Linked DNA regions of Oryza sativa Japonica Group. The protein of the gene in region 1 binds, or shares a complex with, the protein of each later gene. Links are inferred from orthologs where the notes say so. Each region holds a gene or a part of one and is shown on either strand. Other genes may lie near its edges.

Evidence for each region.
Region 2: protein STABILIZED1 (region 1) and zinc finger protein ZOP1 share a complex: the UniProt entries of both Arabidopsis thaliana proteins name them as parts of the pre-mRNA splicing complex. The link is inferred for Oryza sativa Japonica Group from reciprocal best matches to the Arabidopsis thaliana genes EMB2770 and AT1G49590.

Annotation. Positions count from the first base shown.
Region 1 is NC_089044.1:19,703,998-19,708,587, reverse strand, and holds the start of protein STABILIZED1, read left to right. Parts: upstream 1-1,634; 5' UTR 1,635-1,711; coding exon 1,712-4,590. UniProt on the Arabidopsis thaliana protein: Pre-mRNA splicing factor required for splicing and for the turnover of unstable transcripts. May be a U5 snRNP-associated protein involved in the formation of U4/U6-U5 tri-snRNP. Involved in responses to abiotic stresses.
Region 2 is NC_089040.1:6,025,381-6,029,774, reverse strand, and holds the start of zinc finger protein ZOP1, read left to right. Parts: upstream 1-1,565; 5' UTR 1,566-1,690; coding exon 1,691-1,699; intron 1,700-2,669; coding exon 2,670-2,870; intron 2,871-3,114; coding exon 3,115-3,196; intron 3,197-4,394. Other genes in the region: dipeptidyl-peptidase 5, read left to right, coding at 1-51, 152-265. UniProt on the Arabidopsis thaliana protein: Nucleic acid-binding protein that promotes Pol IV-dependent small interfering RNA (siRNA) accumulation, DNA methylation and transcriptional silencing.

The DNA.
Region 1 (4,590 bases):
GCGGCGTCGCTTTCAGGTTGGGTGGGGAATGGGATGCGGCCGTGGAAAGGGGAGACGACGACGACGAACGACGATGACGATGACGACGACGGGGAGAGAGTCAGAGGGAGGGGGGGAGGGGAAACGAGTGGGTTTGGTCTTTTGGTGGCGTTTCGGGAGTGGTGAGCTCTGGGTATGTACGAATTCCGTTGAATTTTGGATCGAAATTGCTAGAAAACTTTTGCAAGTTCCGTGGAGTTTAGTTCCAAACTTTTTTAAAAAAATTTTTAACTTTCCATCGCATCAAAACTTTCCTACACATACAAACTTCTAACTTTTCTGTCACATCGTTTCAATTTCAACCAAACTTCTAATTTTAGCGTGAACTAAACACACCCTTTTTCTCTCAAAACTTTCAGATTTATGGTCATCGGGTTACTGGAGATTTGTACATTCAAGAGATAACATTGCTACAAAAATATCATACATGTTATGTGCAAGATCTCGGTGCTAGTCAGCCAAACCACGGTTAAATACATGTTTTATATAAGTTATACCGTAGTTACAATACAGTTACAGTACAACTATACTTCAATTATAATATAATTTAATCTCGAAGTTTTACACTTAAAAAATCTACGGCAGTTTTTTACACACTCCAATATTACTCTTGTATAGTACCTAGATGTACTAACTTGTAACGAAATAAAGAGTGTTGTCTGTCTATTTAAAATTGGATACACGAATTTCATTGAAATTGGCATGGAGGCGGGTAATCTTGGTGTTGTGGTCTTGCGGTGGATTGTAACTTGTAAGAAAATGGGGATAGTCGTCTATTTATTTGAAACTGGGTACATAAATTTCGTTAAATTTGGCACCAAGGCAGATAAAATGAGTGAATGTATGCCTTTTTGGGAATTTGAATGAATCTTTCGTCAGATTTATAGTTTGACAATTTCAGTTAAAATTTATCTCCCTCGGTTACAAATTTCATCAATTGTTTATGTATCGAATCTTTAATTAAATTGTATTATTCCATCATTTTACTTTAAATGATATCTCTCTAGGCCACAACTTTCATTACATCATTGTCTCGATTTTTATGTACATATAGAAATTGTAGTGTGCTAGCACATATATGTACATAAAAATTGAGATTATGAACTTGGAGCTAGAAACTTGAAACTTAACCCTTTCAGATTATCATCAGCCGACTAATCACAAGCGTCTTATAAGAATCTTTATAAGAATCTCTAGCTCTCTATTTAGGTTATTATCATTGTTGTCGTGATCGTCGATAGCCCATCCTAACTACGCATGTTTTCTTTGTTTATACAATATAAATATGTTTTTTTTCCAATAGATGCAGCAGAGTCATGACCTATGAAATTGATGATACGGCACGGTAAGATTTTATTCGCAACAAATAAGTCGATAAAACAACAAGCCCATCTTAAAAATAAATCCAAAGAAACCCAACCCAAAAGAAGGGAAGGTCAGGCGATGGGCCCAAACACGAGCCAAACAGGCCCATGAGCCCTTGTACGGCCCATATGCAGGTGATCAGCCCACCATGGAACGGCCCACGTAGCCCACCGCCTCTCCTCGCCACCGACTCAATTCACCCAAAGGTCCCAAACCGTCACAAAATAGTTAAACCAATTCCACGATTCCGTATTCTTCCTCACGACCTCAAAAACCCAAACCAATCTACTCCGCCGCCGCCGCCGCGATGGTGTTCGTCCGCGCGCCGGACGGGAGGACCCACCACGTCGACCTCGACCCCTCCACCGCCACGCTCGCCGACCTCACGGCCTCCGCCTCCCGCGTCTGCGGCGGCGTCCCGCCGGAGCAGCTGCGGCTCTACCTCGCCCACCGCCGCCTCCTCCCGGCCGAGCCGTCCCCGCTGCTGTCCTCCCTCCGGGTCTCGGCCTCCTCCTCCCTGCTACTCCACCTCCCCCTGCTCGGAGGGATGACCGGCCCGACGACGACCCCCGCGGCACCCCCGCCCCCGCCGCCGCCGTCGGCGCAGCCGCCCGCCCGCCCCGCGCGCTACGACTTCCTCAACTCCAAGCCGCCCCCGAACTACGTGGCCGGTCTGGGGCGTGGCGCCACCGGGTTCACCACCCGTTCGGATATCGGGCCGGCCCGCGCGGCGCCCGATCTGCCTGACCGGTCCGCCGCCGCCGCCGCCGCCCCCGCCGTCGGGCGCGGCCGTGGGAAGCCACCCGGGGACGACGACGGCGACGACGATGGCGGCGACGAGGAGAAGGGGTACGACGAGAACCAGAAGTTCGACGAGTTCGAGGGCAACGACGCCGGGCTGTTCTCCAACGCCGACTACGACGACGACGACCGCGAGGCGGATGCGGTCTGGGAGAGCATCGACCAGAGGATGGACTCTCGCCGGAAGGATCGGCGGGAGGCGCGGCTGAAGCAGGAGATCGAGAAGTACCGTGCTTCCAACCCTAAGATCACCGAGCAATTCGCTGATTTGAAGCGTAAGTTGGTCGATTTGTCGGCGCAGGAGTGGGAAAGCATACCTGAAATTGGGGACTACTCGCTGCGCAACAAGAAGAAGCGATTTGAGAGCTTCGTTCCCGTGCCGGACACCCTGCTCGAGAAGGCTCGGCAGGAGCAGGAGCATGTCACGGCACTGGATCCCAAGAGCCGTGCAGCTGGTGGCACCGAGACGCCATGGGCGCAGACTCCGGTTACCGATCTGACGGCTGTGGGCGAAGGTCGTGGCACCGTGCTCTCCTTGAAGCTGGACAGGTTGTCGGATTCGGTATCTGGTCTTACTGTTGTTGATCCAAAGGGTTACTTGACGGACCTGAAAAGTATGAAGATTACTAGTGATGCTGAGATTTCTGACATTAAAAAGGCGCGATTGTTGCTTAAGTCAGTGACACAGACAAACCCGAAGCATCCACCAGGATGGATTGCTGCTGCTAGGCTTGAAGAGGTTGCTGGCAAGCTTCAGGTTGCTCGGCAGCTTATCCAGCGTGGCTGTGAGGAGTGCCCCACAAATGAGGATGTTTGGGTCGAGGCATGCCGGCTGGCCAGCCCAGACGAGGCAAAGGCAGTGATTGCTAGGGGCGTGAAGGCAATTCCCAATTCTGTGAAGCTGTGGTTGCAGGCAGCAAAGTTGGAAACTAGTGATTTGAATAAGAGCAGGGTTTTGAGAAAAGGGTTGGAACACATTCCTGATTCAGTCAGACTGTGGAAAGCAGTAGTAGAGCTTGCAAATGAGGAGGATGCAAGACTGTTGCTTCACAGGGCTGTGGAGTGCTGCCCACTCCATGTGGAACTGTGGCTTGCCCTAGCAAGGCTGGAGACATATGACCAAGCAAAGAAGGTACTTAACAAGGCAAGAGAAAAGCTTCCTAAGGAACCTGCCATCTGGATTACAGCTGCAAAGCTGGAGGAAGCTAATGGAAACACCCAGTCAGTAATCAAGGTGATTGAGAGAAGTATAAAAACTTTACAGAGAGAAGGATTGGATATTGACAGGGAGGCATGGCTAAAGGAAGCAGAAGCTGCTGAGCGTGCTGGATCTGTATTGACTTGCCAGGCTATTGTTAAGAGCACTATTGGCATTGGTGTTGATGAGGAAGACAGAAAACGCACATGGGTTGCCGATGCTGAGGAATGCAAGAAGCGTGGTTCAATTGAGACAGCCCGTGCCATCTATGCGCATGCACTCAGTGTCTTCGTTTCCAAGAAGAGTATTTGGCTGAAAGCGGCTCAGCTTGAGAAGAGCCATGGAACCAAGGAGTCTCTTTATAATCTCCTCAGAAAGGCTGTTACCTACAATCCACGTGCAGAAGTTTTATGGCTTATGAGTGCAAAGGAGAAATGGCTGGCTGGAGATGTCCCGGCTGCCCGAGCCATTCTTCAGGAAGCTTATGCTTCTCTCCCCAATTCAGAGGAGATCTGGCTAGCTGCCTTCAAGCTTGAGTTTGAGAACAATGAACCAGAGAGAGCAAGAATTCTTTTGTCAAAGGCCAGGGAAAGAGGAGGCACTGAGAGGGTCTGGATGAAATCTGCGATTGTTGAAAGGGAGTTAGGGAATGTAGACGAAGAAAGGAAGCTGTTGGAGGAAGGTCTGAAGTTATTCCCCTCATTCTTCAAGCTGTGGTTAATGCTTGGACAAATGGAAGACCGGCTTGGCCATGGATCCAAGGCAAAGGAGGTTTACGAGAATGCACTGAAGCACTGCCCGAGTTGCATCCCTCTTTGGCTCTCTCTAGCTAATCTAGAGGAGAAGATAAATGGCTTGAGCAAGTCACGTGCTGTCCTCACCATGGCAAGAAAGAAGAACCCAGCTACACCTGAACTCTGGCTTGCAGCAGTTAGGGCTGAATTGAGACATGGGAACAAGAAGGAAGCTGATGCTCTACTAGCCAAGGCATTACAGGAATGCCCGACAAGTGGTATTTTGTGGGCTGCAGCTATAGAGATGGTGCCACGTCCCCAGCGTAAAGCAAAGAGCTCAGATGCTATAAAACGATGTGACCATGATCCCCATGTCATTGCAGCTGTGGCCAAACTTTTCTGGCATGATAGGAAGGTTGATAAAGCTAGAAGTTGGTTGAATAGAGCTGTTAC
Region 2 (4,394 bases), on another chromosome or scaffold:
TTGCCTGTTGCCTTGGTGGAATACGAAGGAGAGCAGCATGGTTTCCGCAAGGTACCAAACTGTATCACTTGTCTCTCTATAGTCTCAAGTCTCTTTACACCCTAAACCCTGCGATAAGGTTGTGATGGAGTATGCTCTTCCATTTGAACAGGCTGAGAACATCAAGTTTACTTTGGAGCAGCAGATGGTGTTCTTTGCTCGATTAGTCGGGAATTTTAAGGTGGCAGATGATATAACTCCAATCAAGATCGAAAACTTTGACTGATCGCTCGAAGAAAGTGTAGCAGTAGCTTACATTTCGTGGAACATGACCTCTTACAGTTTGCATCTGTTTGAATTGTCCATGTACTCCGACTAAATGTTCATTAAAATCAATCAATGTTGGAGTCTGGGGCAATGGAATCGCATATTTGAGTTTCGGAAACTCCAGAAATCGCCCATATTAGGCAACAGGAGACACATCCATACCTAACTTTATTTTAATAGACCATTATTTCTTCTGAGACAAGAGTCATCTATAACACAAACATTCGGCCGGGTTTTTTTTTTTTTTTTTTTTTTTTGAGAAATAATAGCCTGGGATGGACTTGAGACAAGTTCGGAATGCAGGAAAATTTCTAATTAAACTGAAGTCTGCATGTTAGCTTAAATATAAGCCTTAGCCAAAATTTTAATTTTGATACTTGGTTTTGGAGTTCTTTCATCGTATTCTATTATCTAGCCTTAGCTTTTAAGTTGCCGAGAATAGATATAAAAGTTTTAACCAAACTCTAATTATTTGAAACAATTTTAGTTGCTCCGTTTATTAATCTAAGGCTTATTAGCTGTTGCTACTAAACTATCATCGCCTTTGTCCAAAATGCAGTTCGTGTACGAAGCGGACAGAAATCCGATTTTTTTTTTTTAAAAATAAATTTCATAGTATTGTAATTATTTGGTCAAAATTATTATTTTGCTATCTACAAAGCTACAATAATAGTGAATGATTTTATTAGAAAACTATAAAATTATATCGTTTTAGTGTATGTAACACGTGAACCCAATATACAACAACATGAGTATTCATATATGAGTATTCATATATGTATGATAGGTGGATCGAAACATTTTGAATTTTTTTTCCTAGTTGATTACATTTGTAGAAAAATAAAATAATATTTTTTACATAAAACAAACCTATTATCAAAATATATTAAATATTAGTTTTAATAAAACTAATTGGTGTTATAAAATTTATCAAACTTAAAAAAGTTTGACTAATTAAAAAAATCAAAATAACTTATAATATAAAATGGATGGAGTAGGATATAAAGTTGCAGCTTTCTAATAAATCATATGTTATTGTTGCAACTATCCGAAATGCTTGATTAAAATTGAGTTTCGATAAAAAAATAGTTGTTGTGTTTCTTTTTGTTTTCGAAATTTACTCGGAAGAAAAATCACGTGTTTAAACTTCAAACAAGGCATGAATTTGAATTATGAACGTCTGGAATCCGCAGCTTCTCCCCCTCTCCGGCGGGCCCACATCCCGCAGAAATACTCCTCACCCCAGCACCCTCTCCCCCGTCCCGTCTCCGACTGCGACCAAAAATCCCCCGCTCGCTTGGCCGCTCCGGCGATCCCCTCCCCCGGCAGCGGAGGCGAAGCTCACTGTCGCAATCGGCGCAGCTGAGCGGAGCCCTTGCCCGCCATGACGGAGGTACGCTCTCCCTTCTTCCTCCGCAATTTTCCGGCATCGCGCGTTGCCCTGTTGCCCTCCGCCGCCCGCTGTGGGGATTCGCGCATCGATCTGAACGAAACCACGGTGCTTTTTTCTCCTTTGGGGGGTTTCTCGGTGATGGTCGGCGTCTTCCGAGTGCGAGTTTATACAGGATTAGCTGATGTTTAGGGATTTTGCCTCTGTTAGTCACTTGGTCTCGTGGATTTCGATGAATTAGGGTTAGTTTCGTAATTCGTATGCTGCTTGTGCATGTCCCTGTGTGTTCGGATGCTATGGGAGAGTAGATAGAATATGCGGCTTGGTGAGGCTGGACTGAGGAAGATTTTGCCTCTGGACTGGAGTGATTCCATCTTCATATGGGTGCTTCAGTCATCTTATGTTTTTGTAGATTGAGATAGTTAACCAAATAGGGCTTTGATTCTTTTGGTAGGTTAATGGTATTTTTTAGTACTTGTTTGTATTCAACTGTAATTGAATTTGAAATGCTAAGTGGAGATTAGAGACTGAAAGTCCCAATGTGATGTATCATGGCAATATTATCAATTCTCTTTCTGAATAAATCAGGATACAAATGCCTATTGTGTTCGTTTATAGGAGAATAGTTAGTTGTTTTTTCCTTTCGAAAAAATTCGTGTCCAATCATTCATATGATCTATGTTATGCTCTTAAACTCTGTTGTTGCAAGCATCCAATCCTGCTAATTGACTTTTTGGCATCAATATTTTTTACCATTGCGAGAAAGAGATTATTTAGTCACTATCTGAAAAGGTGACAGTACAAGAAGCAACTGTAGTTTCCTTCTGGTAGGAATACAGGGTCCCTATTAGCCCTTTGAAAGTTATCTGCGATCATCTTCTTTGACATTTAAGTTGTTGTACACTGTCATCACAAGCATCCAACTTTGCAAGTGTTTTTGTTATAAATAACTTTTTCCCCTATCTTTTTCCAGTACTGGGTGAGCCAAGGAAACAAATGGTGTGACTTCTGTAAGATTTACATAGCTAATAACCCGCTAAGCATCAGAACACATGAAATCGGTAAGCGCCACAAGGACAATGTCACTAAAAGATTGGCAACCATGCAAAAGGAGGGTGCTGCCAAAGAAAAGGAGCAGCAGCAAGCAGCCCGGGCCCTCAAGCAAATAGAAGCTGTAAGTTTGTAATGCTGTTTTTTTCCCCAGTATGTTGGTATCCTAATCACCTAATGTACATATTGTTATGTCACAAACTACAGAGCTTGTGAAGGGTAAACACTTCTGCATTGATAAAACCATGTAGGCTTTTTCTTTTTGAATTTATCCTTTCCCTTATTGCTGTGTTGTTTCAATTTATCTTGCAATTGGTTGATTTATGAACTACCATGCCTTGTTATTTGTAACTTACTGTTCACTGCAGAAAGCTAAAAAGAGCTACCAAAAAGATTTAGAGAACAGTCAAAGGAATGTGGACGGTGACACTTCTGCGGCACCTGGAGATGGTGTGTATGGCTCACCGTTGTCTATCAATAGTGTTCTTCAATGCCTGATCCACTGCATAGCCTGTTTTCTTTTGTGCCATTAGTTATCTCTGCTTTGTATAAAAAAAAAATAGGCCTCCATATCTGATGAAGCTATCCCTAAGCGCTTTTATTTGCGAACCCTTTTGTTTAATCCTAAAATATAAAATGAGTCCTTTGGATGAGGTACTTTCTTTTTTTAGTAAATTAGTATGGAGTATTTCTTTCTGCAATTCCAATTATATCAATACTTTAATCCTATTTATTACTCCTGGAATTTTCTATTTATGGGGACAGATAATACCTCACCCTAGGAAGAGCCGTTTTGAAGGATGACTAATTTTTAGAGGATATATGCTTGCTATCTTCCTTCCCGTCCTTTGTTTAGGATAGTGAAAAATATTTTTTCCTTTTATTTTAGGAATTTTGGGAACATCCTACTTCTCTGTTATGCTTTTGTAGGATTTTTTTAGTTGATGGTTAGGTTAATTCACCAATCTTGAGAGGGTTTAGTTGGTCATGATTTCTGTTTTCTCTTTTTGTTCACTATTTTGAGCTTGTATTAACTTGTTGTATTAGTCTTATCTTCTTAATTTTTTCTCCTGCTGATTCTAGTTTTTGACATGCTTGAAATATATTCCAACCTAGCTCATGTAATACAATACCTTGGTTAGCAGAAATGTCTAACTACTGTCAATTTTCAAAGCCTAAAATTGTTTTATCTTAAATCCGTCCTTCAAACATATCTTTCTCTTGGCTCAAATGTATGGGAAAATATGTAACCTGGAAACTACTATAGGATGTAGAAATGAATGTTTGAGATTTGTCCATGTCATCATGAGTAAAACTTTTACTACCAAATTGAGCCGTGAGTAATACTTGCTCTGCTACTATGTTGACGATAAATTTTGCTAACAATTGCATTAATGTTAATGAAATGATGTTAGATTTTCATGAACTGTGCCCTAGCAGAATTATTCTGGTTAGTATGCTTAATACTCTTAAGTCTTTACTGATGATTATATGTCATTAAAGACAGGAGAACAGATGAACAGACCAGTTCCTACCTTTAACTGGAACACTGAGTAGCATGAACCATGATGCACTGTTTGCATATGTGCGCTGATCATTCTGTCCGCCAGCACTACTACAATTTTCGCTATTTAACAATATTTGTTCA